3 linked regions of the Caenorhabditis elegans genome follow. The protein of the gene in region 1 purifies or fractionates together with the protein of each later gene. This does not show direct contact. Each region holds a gene or a part of one and is shown in the gene's direction. Other genes may lie near its edges. The genes, in order: math-48, snf-10 and ccdc-55.

Evidence for each region.
Region 2: the proteins of math-48 (region 1) and snf-10 fractionate together in Caenorhabditis elegans (co-fractionation; one large-scale study listed by BioGRID). This does not show direct contact.
Region 3: the proteins of math-48 (region 1) and ccdc-55 fractionate together in Caenorhabditis elegans (co-fractionation; one large-scale study listed by BioGRID). This does not show direct contact.

The regions. Positions count from the first base shown.
Region 1 is NC_003280.10:1,944,879-1,948,480, reverse strand, and holds math-48 (MATH domain-containing protein), read left to right. Parts: upstream 1-1,953; 5' UTR 1,954-1,963; coding exon 1,964-2,076; intron 2,077-2,129; coding exon 2,130-2,407; intron 2,408-2,459; coding exon 2,460-2,586; intron 2,587-2,635; coding exon 2,636-2,963; 3' UTR 2,964-3,043; downstream 3,044-3,602. Other genes in the region: ZK250.14 (MATH domain-containing protein), read left to right, coding at 3,313-3,425, 3,479-3,602.
Region 2 is NC_003283.11:10,437,804-10,442,542, reverse strand, and holds snf-10 (Transporter), read left to right. Parts: upstream 1-1,719; 5' UTR 1,720-1,747; coding exon 1,748-1,882; intron 1,883-1,929; coding exon 1,930-2,300; intron 2,301-2,348; coding exon 2,349-2,619; intron 2,620-2,665; coding exon 2,666-2,967; intron 2,968-3,014; coding exon 3,015-3,246; intron 3,247-3,292; coding exon 3,293-3,388; intron 3,389-3,431; coding exon 3,432-3,691; intron 3,692-3,782; coding exon 3,783-4,041; intron 4,042-4,081; coding exon 4,082-4,177; 3' UTR 4,178-4,213; downstream 4,214-4,739. Other genes in the region: pap-1 (Poly(A) polymerase), read right to left, coding at 202-426; set-22 (SET domain-containing protein), read right to left, coding at 1,592-1,642, 4,226-4,318, 4,367-4,580, 4,623-4,725.
Region 3 is NC_003281.10:4,166,392-4,170,472, reverse strand, and holds ccdc-55 (Nuclear speckle splicing regulatory protein 1 homolog), read left to right. Parts: upstream 1-1,707; coding exon 1,708-1,818; intron 1,819-2,005; coding exon 2,006-2,155; intron 2,156-2,504; coding exon 2,505-3,422; 3' UTR 3,423-3,525; downstream 3,526-4,081. Other genes in the region: E3 ubiquitin ligase rnf-121, read left to right, coding at 1-43, 87-223, 274-365, 424-575, 1,085-1,204, 1,264-1,384; E3 ubiquitin ligase rnf-5, read left to right, coding at 3,640-3,707. UniProt on the Caenorhabditis elegans protein: Required for the cessation of distal tip cell migration at the end of larval morphogenesis.

The DNA.
Region 1 (3,602 bases):
TAAGGTGATCTATCCGTGATACGGATCTTATCATGACAGGTGATGATCTAATAGCATACGACTAGATTTTCCCTAGGTCTGATTAGAAAATATTGCCCCCAGTTTTGAAGATTCACTCCGGAAAGTTCCTAAATTTCTGAGGTCCACATCAGAGATGGGCGGCTTTTATTACGCGTTTGTTTTATCTTCCTAGTAACGTTCAAAATGTAACTTTTTTGAACAAATTTTTTCTCTGAGTTTCAGATTTTACAAAGAGCGATCAGGTATTTTCATATTAATCACTGCAATAATCGGTTTTTTTTTTCGTATCGATTTTGAGACATTTTCACCCAATTGATTGACACTTCCTAGTGGGACGTTCTCACCTGTTACCCCATAGTGTGAAAACGTTCAGGTGAGAACCTTCAAAATAGTCATTTTGCAAGGTTCTCACCTAAACCTTTTCCCACTATTAACCGTGATCATCATCCCGGGAGTGCAAATCTGAAGAATCGATACCAAGCCATCCCATTCTATATCTCCCCATTCATTCTTCATTATTCTCCCAGCCATGTCTGCTCCGTCTTTCCCCATCCTCCGTCTTCCAGCGAAGGCCCTTCGTTCTACTCTTCAGAATTTTAAATTCGCGGATTTTTGAGTTTAACTTATATATTTTCTATGTTTACTAAAATAATAAATTACAGAATGAGTTTCTCCCTGATCTCTCCAACATCCGTAAAGCTTCTGAACATCGAAGCAGGAAATGTGTGCGTAGTTCTGGATCACCTTATGGGTATCATTGTTTGGTCTGCCAATGGATGCTGCAGGTTCTTATTCATTCCTCCTTCAGACGACGTTGAGGAGCACTTTACGAATTGGATATTGCTCAATGAAAGCTTTTCGATGAGACGTTGCGTTGAGAATTTGCTCGTCGCTCTGGATCTTCTGGAAATTGATATGTTGTTTGTTATGGATGAAGATGTGATCTATGACGAGCTGAAAGGAATCAAGTTGTGGAAGCTCGTGATGGGAGAGAACAACCCAACGATGTTCGATCTCTACTACCGTGACGCCATGAATATCAGCATTGCCGACAGAGCTCTCCTTGGTGAGCAGTTCAGGGCTCTAGTCTCCGAGAACTTGGATCGCCTGGAGTTTACTGCAGAATGTGTCATCGGACTTGACGATCTGCTCTCATGCAACGCTCAGGATCTTTAGATCTGAAAATCGAGCACCCATTCTCTTTATCTGATTTGAATCTGTTTCTCAGACATCTCATCAATGGGTCGAATCCTAGATTGGCAGAAGCTCATATTGCACTGGCAGAGGACAACCTTGAGAACTACAAAGAAGTTTTGCTGAAAGGTATCGAGTACCGGACGTCTCGCTCTTCCGATATCTACCAAGATGGATTTTTGATTAAAGACTTGGCACTTTGTCGCAACGATGGAGTTGAAGTATGGGCTTCCGTGGATCCAAGAAGCCAGAACTTCTACTTGTTTGCTGATCTGGATAAATCTCCATTTCGCCATAAGTGACGTTGTGCTTGCTCAAGAAATTAGTGAAAGTACACAACATTTTAGTCTTTTCTGTTAAAAAATTATATTTTACAACTTTTTGGTGTTTAATTTTTTCTATTGTATACTGGCTTGCTCCCTAGGTTTTATATTGCTAATATAATTTGTATCCCCATTTTTTTTCTCATCGATCGTAAATTGAATGAATGAACATTAGACGGAGAAAGTTATTGAAATTTTATCAGAAACCAAATCGATCAATTTTGCCATATCAATTTTGCCATTCTAGCGGTGAGGTGTCGGAAGCACGTCCTGAACAAGGAAGCTCCAAATAAAAACCCATCAACTTATTTATATAAATTAATTAAATACATAACGTGAAGTTTAAAAAAAACAACAAATGTGGACAACAACGTGGAAATAAAATCCACTTCGATTTTTCATCAATTTCAATTTCTCAAAGAAAAATGTCTACTTCCTTCAAAGAGTTTGCAATCAGCCAAACTATCCGGAACATCTCCAAATTTCTGAATGGAGAGCAATACTTCACTGATGTGGAAGAACGATTTAATATTCCATGGTTAGTTGATTTAAAGATTTAAAGATTCTTTGAATATAACTAACGTGTTACAGGAGAATGAGAATATGCAAGCTCAATGGTGATTTGGTATTTTATTTGCAATGTGACAAAGAAGAATGTGAAACCAGGAAGTTTTCTGTCGAAACAGAGTTCACGTTGAAGTTGGTGTCGCCTTATGGGAGAAGTTTGACCAGGAATAAGGTGCACACATTCAAAGAGCTGAAAATGGGAGGTTGGCACAAATTCATCAGTTGGGAGGAACTGGAAAATGACTATATGGTTGATGACAGTGTTATAATTGAAGCGTATGTCAAGATTATTAAAATTTCAAGTAAGTTGAAAAAAAGTTACTTTAGAGACCCAAACGATACTACTTATTCCAGATGTCCCGTGCATTGCTCCCAAGAATCTGAAAACATTTATGCTAAATCAAACTGTTAGAAATGTTTCCAACATTCGAGAAGGAAATAAATATCTTACTAACACTGAAGTTCGTTTTGGTATTCCATGGTTAGTCAATAAGAAGAGAGAACTCTACTTTAACAATCATATTTTTAAGGTGTCTCGTGATTAAAAGAAAGGATGGATTTTTCAAACTATTCTTACGATGCTATAAAAAAACGTCTAGAATCAATAATTGGTCCATTGGAGTTAAATACACGCTGAAATTGATGTCCGTGGATGGCCAGAGATTATTATACAACACAAAACACACTTATACAAATAATACGGATTGCGGCTGGGATAAGATAATCAGGTGGAAGGATATGGAGGAGAGATTTCTGGTGAACGACAGTATCATTATTGAAGTTTGCGCGAACATTGTGGAGATGACTGGATGTGAGGATGTAGATGATTTAAGCGAAGAGCTCTCTTTTATTATGTGATCACTATTGGAGGACACAATTACTCGGTGGAAATTCTCATGTGAATAAATTTTAATAAAATTAAAACTGTACCTTTCCAAGTCGCTCACAAATTCTGTAAATTGCTGCACTTTTTCATGACCAGTGTTTTATTCGAGAAAATTATTATTCATTTATTAGGCTTAAAAATTGATTATTCAAATATTAAATTAAATTCATACAAAGTAATCCATTTTATAATATGCACGGCATATTTCAACAAACGTGACGTTTCTAAAAAAAATCCAGCGTGTTTTAAAAAAACAACAAATGCTAGCGTGGAAAAAAAATCCACTTCGATTTTTCATCCATTTCAATTTTGCAAAGAAAAATGTCTACTTCTTGCAAAGAGTTTGCAATCAGCCAAACTGTCCGAAATATCTCCCAATTTCTGAATGGAGAACAATACTTCACTGATGTGGAAGAACGATTTAATATTCCATGGTTAGTTGATTTAAAGGTTTAAAGATTCTTTGAATATAATCAATGTATTACAGGAGAATTAGAATATGGAGGCACAATGGTTATCTGGTATTATATTTGCAATGTGACAAAGAACAATGTGAAACCAGAAAATTGACCGTCGAAACTGAGTTTACATTGAAGTTGGTATCACCTTAT
Region 2 (4,739 bases), on another chromosome or scaffold:
TAAAAATTTTCCACAACTAAACAGTAAAAATAAAAGTATTTTTGAAATTTCTTCTAGAAAACTGAGTTTTGTCAATGAGCCAACATTAATTATTTTCAATTATTATATCCAGTCGTTGGATGATTTTCATAAATATTGTATAAACAAAAACCTATTTCAGATCATACTTTTAAAATTTAAATATTTCAACAAAAAACGAACCTTCATGGCAGTTACATTCTTAACCCATTCTTTGACTAGACGATTCAAATTACGAAGTACTTCCATTCTTTGTTCTGTTTCTTCTTTTGGTTCATAGCTTCCAAACTTTTTCAATGTTTCTATCAATAAAGTCGTCTGTGCAATGTCTTTTGAATCTGGATGGGCTAGCGAAATGGGTTGAGAAACACCCAAAAGTGGAGTTTTGTCCTTTTCGGTCGCCGACATTGTTATTATTCTGAAAAGTCTTAATGTTGAAGAGTTTGCTGTACAATTTGAAATATTTACCAAGACATGCAATTACCCAAATTTCGGATTCCTCCTTTATTATCCTTACTAACGATTTGAACACGATAAAATCGCGCTGAAAATAAAAAAAACCTTTTAGACGAAAAGATTTTTAAAATTTCGAAATTCGAAAAACAACGAAAAATGAAGGCAAAACTGAGAAGAAATGAAAAATAGAAAAATTATTCGATATGAACGAGATCCGTGGGAATGAAAAATAATTTCAGAGAGCAGTGAGTTTTATCACGTTTTTACCACCAAATATTGAAAGGGTCCACGAGGTATAGAAGGAAAAGAAAAAGAGAAACAGACGAATGCCGAGCGACGAGAGAGTACAGATGAGCATGAGATATCAGACAGTTAGGGGAACGAGAGAACGACAGGGAAGGTCTCTTTCAATCGATGGTGCAGTCAGCCTCACACATGACGAATTCGTCGTCAAGACATCGAGATGGAAGCCTTTTTCAGAAATGAAAGTGAATGGAAAGAGGATAGAGAAAATGCAAAACGCTCGTTAGAGACAATGAAAATTTCTCCAATGAGAAAAAAGTAGAAAACGTTCCAAGAATACCCTTTTTGCATCACGTGTTCAAAATTTTGATTAAAACAATACACAAGAATCAATGCACTTATATGGGAGTTTTCAATTTAAATTTTGAATTAGGAATCAAGTAATTATAGTTCTAGAACCAAATTCCATAAAAATTAAGCAATAAAATTATATTCTGCAATTGTCTAGGAGGAGTACACGGTTGTCGGATTCTAGGCCGCGGCCATAAAACTTGAAAACCGTATACGGTACCGTAACCACGATGAAGATTTAAATAAATTGTCTTGGGCGTCTACAAATGAAGCAATGAAATTAACTTTATAAAAAAGAGTATGAACAAAATTATAAATAGAATGATATTATGATATTATGATTTTATTGAAGATGTACTGTGGAAAACTGTGTTTTTAAAAACAATTATTATATGAAACAAACTGATTGTATTAACATGATAATTATAGATACGATTTGACTCCGAGAACAGAAGATACTTTCAGAGTCTGAAAGATGAGAATAATTAGTGATAAAAAATTATAAAATTACATTTGAGAACAGTCACTTGGAATTCATTGATATGAACTTCTTGATAGTGTTTTGACGTTCCTTCTGAAATCATATTTAGTAATATTTAGAAAACGTGAATTTTTAGAAACTAGAGCAATTGAATTTCAATTTCGATACGAGTTTATTTTGGTTTTATAAAAACAGTGAATGGCGTCGTCTTCAGATTTCAAACAATTAAAACAAACTAGAACAAAATCTGAAGAAACTACAAGATCAGCATCAAACGAAACAGTAAATGATGATAATAGAAGCACTACTACAGAGGAAATAATACCAATAAAGGTAAAATATATACATTTTCTGATCAAAAATCTTTTTGTTTTCTACAGAAAACTTCAAATGCTACTGCCATCTCTAACATTGGATTCAAAAGCGTGACAAATCTAGCTCTGGAGAATATTGGGTTGGATACAAAAATGGAAGGACCCACGTGGACTTCAAAATGGGAAGCTATCACTGCCACACTTTCGTTCGTTACATGTTCTGGAAATATTTGGTTTTTCCCGTATCTCTGTGGATATTACGGTGGATGGTTTCCATATCAATTCACATTTTGTTATGTATTCATCGCTGTTCCACTTCTTTATCTTGAAACAGCTCTTGGACAATATGCTTCTGCTTCTCCACTATCAGTTTTCTCAAGAATGGCTCCCGCCATGGCAGGATTATCTGCAGGAATGTGCTTCATAATGGTTTTCAGGTATTTATCTGAACCTAACTTCTCATTTTTTCAAAATCCTCAATTCAGAACAATCAGTCTATCTGTCTGGGCAATTTACGATCTTACTATTTTTACACATGCTTCCCAATCAATCTGGTCAACATCTCCATGGGAGAGCTGCCAGGAAAGTCAATCTGGGGATTACTGTGTCAATTACAAGCTATCGTCGAAATGTACATGGATTCAACCGGGATCGGATAAAGAATGTGATGAATATCAAGAAATGTTAATTGCCACCCGTGGTTTTCAACAGAGAAAATCTCCATTTATGAGCTTTGTTCATGGGTTGATGTACAAGGTTGTATAACTTGACTGTATGATATTCATTTCGAAGCAACTTTCAGAGAAGCATAACAATGAATGATTGGGAGCCGCCAAGTGTTACATCTATTATATGTGCAGTTTGTCTATGGATAATTATTGGTATAATTTCCATTGGAGGATCAAAAGTTCTTGGTAGAACCGGTATCGTAGCTCTTACACTTTTATTGGTGGGAACTATAATGCTTCTTTCGTATGGAATGTCTTTGAATGATACTACAAACGTATTTACTGCATTCTTTTATCAAAGTGAAGGTTACGAGGATAAATGGATGTGGGTGTGGTCATGGGCAGATGCTGCAGCACATGCACTTAGAGCATTGAAGTAGGTGTGAATCATGAATTTCAGAAAAATAAAGTATTTGTTTCTAGTGTTGGATGTGGCGGAATCCAGAAATTTGCCTCATTGAACAACTTTCACAACAAAATACATCGAGATGTTCTACTTATTAGCATTGTTTCTTTTGTATTTTACATATGCACTGGATTACTTTCGTTCATGTTCATGGCTGAAATAGGAAGATTATATTACCCAGACTTGGAAGCTAGTGAAAGAATTCAACTATACGCTACACCGGTAATGATTGAAAGTGTAATCTCCGAGGTATATTAAAATAGTTCAATCTATAATAATCAGAAAAGTTATTTAGATATTAACAAATTCTTCAATGGGAAGCATTTGGGTGTTTCTATTCTGGCTAACACTTGCAGCATGCTCAATCCAGGGAATTTCTAGTTATATTTGGGTAGAAATGAAGCCACAAAAACGTCCACAATATCTAAGTTTAGGTTATAAGTTCTATGATTGTGGAAAGATTAAACGGAAGTCGGCGAAAATATGGAAAAGCTCTTGCGAGTTGGCATAAGAGAGCTATCATTTTAGCAATTATGAGTGTCACAGGTCTTATTTCTAGTTTACCATTTTTGGGTAACGGAGGAATTAATCTAATGAGTAGTATCGAAACATTTGCTTCATATGGCACTATATTTATTGCTTTTGTTGAAGTAATAACGGTATCTTATGTGTATGGATTCAAGAGATTTTCCGTGTAAGTTCGAAAAATGTGAATCTTTTTTAGAGAGTTTACCTATTCACAATAATTTGAAACAAAAAGTTTTTAGTCCAAAAAATTATTTCAGAAACATAAGAGCAATGATTGGGGGACACGGACCTCCTAACGTCTTCTGGTGGCTTAACTGGCTTGTAATCAGTCCTATTCTACTCATTGTAACTTTTGGATGTATCGTTGCAACATTCGGCCAAAAAAAAGCATTTAATGAAAATTCTATTGTGTCTGATCCAATAGGATATTCTCTTCTCGTCATGCCATGCATCTTTGTGATTTTATACTTTTTGAGAGATGAGTATGATCGAAGAAAAAATATGGAACCTTTTGTGGTAAGAATATATCTTAAAAACTACTTATGGAATAATTTAGGTGATGATAAGAGCAACTGGTGACTGGGGACCAATGAATCCGGAAGACAGACGAAATGCTGTGAAATTTGAAAGACAGCTCAGAGTTAGATATTGATAATGAATTATTCTACTTTTATAAAAAAATATTTTTTCTCTGACTAACCTCGTGAATGCAAACATTGTGTGGTTGATAAGGATGAGCGCATTGAATGACCTTGCTAGAGTAATTCGAATCGTAGTCATGTGGAAGTGTAAGCTGAAACAGAGTCTTATAATATATTTTTTAATCAAAGAAGGGTCTCACCTCTTCCCCCATTAGGATATTTCTCTGAGCAGATATAAATAATTGCATTCTTTGATTATGAATCACGTATCGAATCATGCAGTTGGATTCACAGTTTCGTCGAATAGCTTTCAGTTCATCAGTTGAATCAGCTAAATCGATGCACATATCATACTTTTCATATGCGGTATTCTTTTGAATATCTTCATCGTCTGAATAATATGAAGCATGCGGCCTGAAACCTAAAACTATTAACTTCTATAAATATATCCTCAACTGATAGACGGGCTTGTTGACGCCATTCATTGCCTCATTGGCGCGAATCTTTCTTCTCGATTGAAATTCCCGAGTATTTCTCTTTCTTTTTCTGGATTTTATATCTGAAAATATCGTA
Region 3 (4,081 bases), on another chromosome or scaffold:
GGTTGAAAGCCTCGGCTCAACATATCAGTGGAGGAACACCAAGGTTTTTAAGAATAAAAAAGACGAATTAAACGAAATAATTTAAGATTCGTCTACAAATGGTTTCTATTTTTGCATAAACTGAGTTATGTACTCGGAGTTGTTGGATATTTGATCATGATGGGAGCTTTATTAGGATTTCATGTTTTATTCGGAGTTTCACAGCCAACACTAATGGATGCCGGTGAGAAATTTTGGAAAAATTTTGAAAAAATCTAATTTTCAAGCTTCCAGGCATCCTTTTCATGTTCTATGGTGTGTATTACGGAGTGCTCGGCCGGGATTTTGCTCACATTTGCACGGCGAGAATGGCGTCGAGAATCGGGGTAAAATACATTTTTCACCTGCTGCCGAAAAATAATCAATATAATTCCAATTTTTCAGTATTACACTCCTGAAGGACTTCCTAAAAAGCATCTAGAAGACGGTGTCTGTGCTGTTTGTGGAGGACGTCTTGATGATTCGGAACATGTTCATGATGCAGATGCTGTGGTTACAACGAAAATGGTTGAAGATGAAGATGAAAAATTGTATAAGTGAGTGGAGAAGTTCAGCAGATTTTTGGAATTTTCACTTTTTTTAATTAAAAAAAAGAATTAATAAGTAGTTTTCCAGTTTTCTTCGAGAATCACCAGAAAGCACCAAATTTTTAAAAACTGATATTATGAAGCTTTTGAACGAATTTTCATCGATTTTTCCACAGTTTTTCGTGAAATTTTTTATTTGATAATTAAAAATTCAAATATACGAATAAAAGTTACACAGAAAAATAAAATCAAGACCTCCGAGAAATTTTTTTTTGCGTTGGCACGGTGCCAGGTCCGGAAAACGTAGATCCGGAATTCCACCAGATCTTGAATCCGTGGTGCCTCAATAAATAAAATTTGATTAACATTTTTTTGTTGAAAAATTGACGAAAATCCGGTGCACCAGAAATTTAAAATTTACAGTACTCTTTAAAGGCGCGCACCCTTTTGCATTTAACAAAGTAAATCGACACATGAGGCTAGAAAGCTCTTGTTAAACTTAAAATCAATAATTTCAGACTCTCATGTGGCCACGTTTTTCACGAATTCTGTATCAGAGGATGGGTAGTTGTTGGAAAACTTCAAACATGCCCGTATTGCAAAGAACGTGTCGATTTACAGAGAATGTTTAAAAATCCGTTAGTTTTTTGAAAAAATCAAATTTAATTATAAATTCTTTAAAAATTTTCAATTTCAGATGGGAGAAACCTCATTTATTCTATGGAAAATTGCTTGACTGGATCCGTTATCTCGTCTGCTGGCAGCCATTGATTGTAACAGCTGTTCAAGGACTCACCACATGGATGGGATTGGAATAGGAATCTTTTTATTTTAATTTTTACTTATTTATTTTTATTTAATAATTTCTAACTGCATCCCAAAGTTATCAAATAGTCACAAATACACACAAAAATTGTCATTCCAATTGCATTTTTATTCTCGTTTTTTCATTTTTTCTCGTTACTTCTTTTTTGCCGGGCACCGGGTGATTTTTCTGATTTCTTTGAAAAAAAAATTACGACTTTATTTATTCTTCCTGTTTAATTTTTATTTCCAATTCCCGTTCACAGCGGTGTTTTATATCTGAAACTGTATCCTTTGGATTCTTTTAATTGGAAAAATAAAATAAAAAAGTTTTTAGATGGCATCAAAACGGCATGTAGGATTAAATATTCGGAAAAAAGATGAACCGAAAGCTGCTCCAATTCGAGTTTCCAGTGTTTTTGGAGACGATGATGATGATGATAATGTGGTAAAATTCAGAGAAGTTTGAAAAATTTAGTGTAGGAGAAAAAGTTTTCAAACAACAAAGAAATGACCGAAAATTATCAAAAATAATTTTTTCCTACTAGCAATTTTAAACATTTTTAGTTTTTGACTATTTTTCGATTTAGAAAAGCTTTTATAAATTTCTGAATTATAAATTTCTTACTTTTCAGCCAGCCACAGCTACCAATATGGCATCAGCTTCAGTTATTCGTGTGCAAAAAGCAGCAGAACGAGAACATCAAAAGGCAGAAGCCGAGGATCCGACGATTTTCGATTATGACGGGAATTACGATGAAATTCAGGCGATTAAGAATGAAAAAGTGAGGGCTCGAAAAGTTGAAAATCGAAAAAAAAAATACTAAAAATAAAACGAAAAAGTGTAGATTTTAAAACCATTAACAAAGAATTTTCGATAAGAAAATATGAAAAAAAAATTTTCAACAAATAAAACAATTTATATAATAAGTTTCCACTAACAATTTTGATATTTTTTTAAATCTAAAAAATGGACAAGAATAAACGAACATTTTCGATTTTTCGGGTTTTTAGAGAATCGAAAATTTTTCGTTAAAAAAGAAAAAAAAACACATCTTTAACCAAAAATGGTTTGTTTCAGAAGTTTCAGTATTTTTAGGCTGAAAAATTCAACTAACAGCTTTGTTTTTGCAGAAAGAAGAAGCTCGAAAAGCGGACAAAAATCGTGAATCGAAATACGCGGAGAACATCATTAAAGCCCATGCTCGTCGCCAACTCGAACAATTTTCTCGTGAAGAACGCCAACAACTCAGAGAACGAGAGAAAGAAGGCGATGAATTTGATGATAAAGAAGTTTTTGTAACTGGAGCATACCGTAAGCAACAGGAAGAAGTGAAGAAACATCGGGAACAAGAAGCTGAAGAAGCTGCTTTTAATGATATGACAAGTGTTCAGAAACAGAAATTATGGGAAATTGGTATGGGAAGGACGCTTTTAAACGATTTGGCAAGAGATCCTACAGCTATTAAACAGAGGAAGAAAGAGCAGAAAAATGTGAGAAAACGGGAAGATTCTGATGAAGAAATTGATCCGAAACCGGAAAAATCGGATAAGAAACCAGCCGAAAAGCTTAAAAAATCAATTTATTCCGATGATTCTGACGAGGAAAAAGCACCAAAACCTCCACAAAAAAATTTCGAAGGAGATCTTAAACCTGGCCTGAATACGGTATCAAAAAAAAAAGCAACGACTCACGCAGAGAGAATCCGTCAGCGAAACTACACTCCAACACCTCCATCTTCAGATGATGAAGGTGCAAGAGCTCCACGAGCTCGGAGAAGGACTTCAAGCCCGTCACCAACTTCAAGGAAGTCCATAGAATCGAGAGAATCAGGGAGTAGAAGATCGCCTGAAGGGAAATCTGAAAAATCTGAAAAAGCGCCGAAAATCTCGCTTAAAGATAAGCTGAAGCCGAAGAAAATCGATAAAGAAGCAAGATTAGACGGACTCAAAGAAATTCTGAAGCAGCGGAATACAGAAGAAGATATTGAGGCAGCGAGGCAAAGATATTTCGAGAGAAAGGAGCAAGGAATTGTTGTACCTCCATTGTAAAATTTAATTTTTATTTATTTTTTCTTTGTTTGTTTTTTTCAATTGCTGGTTAAAATTCCAATCTCCCAATTTTCCAATTCCAGACCTAATGAAATATCCAATTTCAATTTCCAATGTTCATTTTTTAAAAACTTCTATGGTTATCTCTACCATTTTTATATATTTTAATACGTGATTTCAGAGAGAATTAAATAAGGAATTTCAGAGTTCGGAGCCAATGGCGTCGGAGACGAAAGCTCCATCCGAGGAGCCCACGAGCTCCAGTAATAAAGATGAATCTGCGAGGTAAATTTAGAAAAAAATCGATGTTTTAATCGTTAGACATAACAAATGACCGGAAATTAAAAAAACGAATTTTTATTGATTAATTTTTTTTGAGAAATCTAAAATTACATATTTTCTGTTTTTTTTTTTTAATTATTTTTCCGAATAATTTCTCTATTTTTGCTGTAAATTTTCAAAAAACGGCAGTTTATCTAAATACTTTTACGACACTTTAAAACATCCGAAAAACTACGAATTAACCAGAAATGTTTTGATTTTAATGAGAACAGATTCAAAGATAACCGAAAATTATTTTTAAAAAAGGAGTTTTCCGGAAAATCAACAAGAAACCGAAATACGAGAAAAAAAATCCGACAGAAAATATTACAGTTATT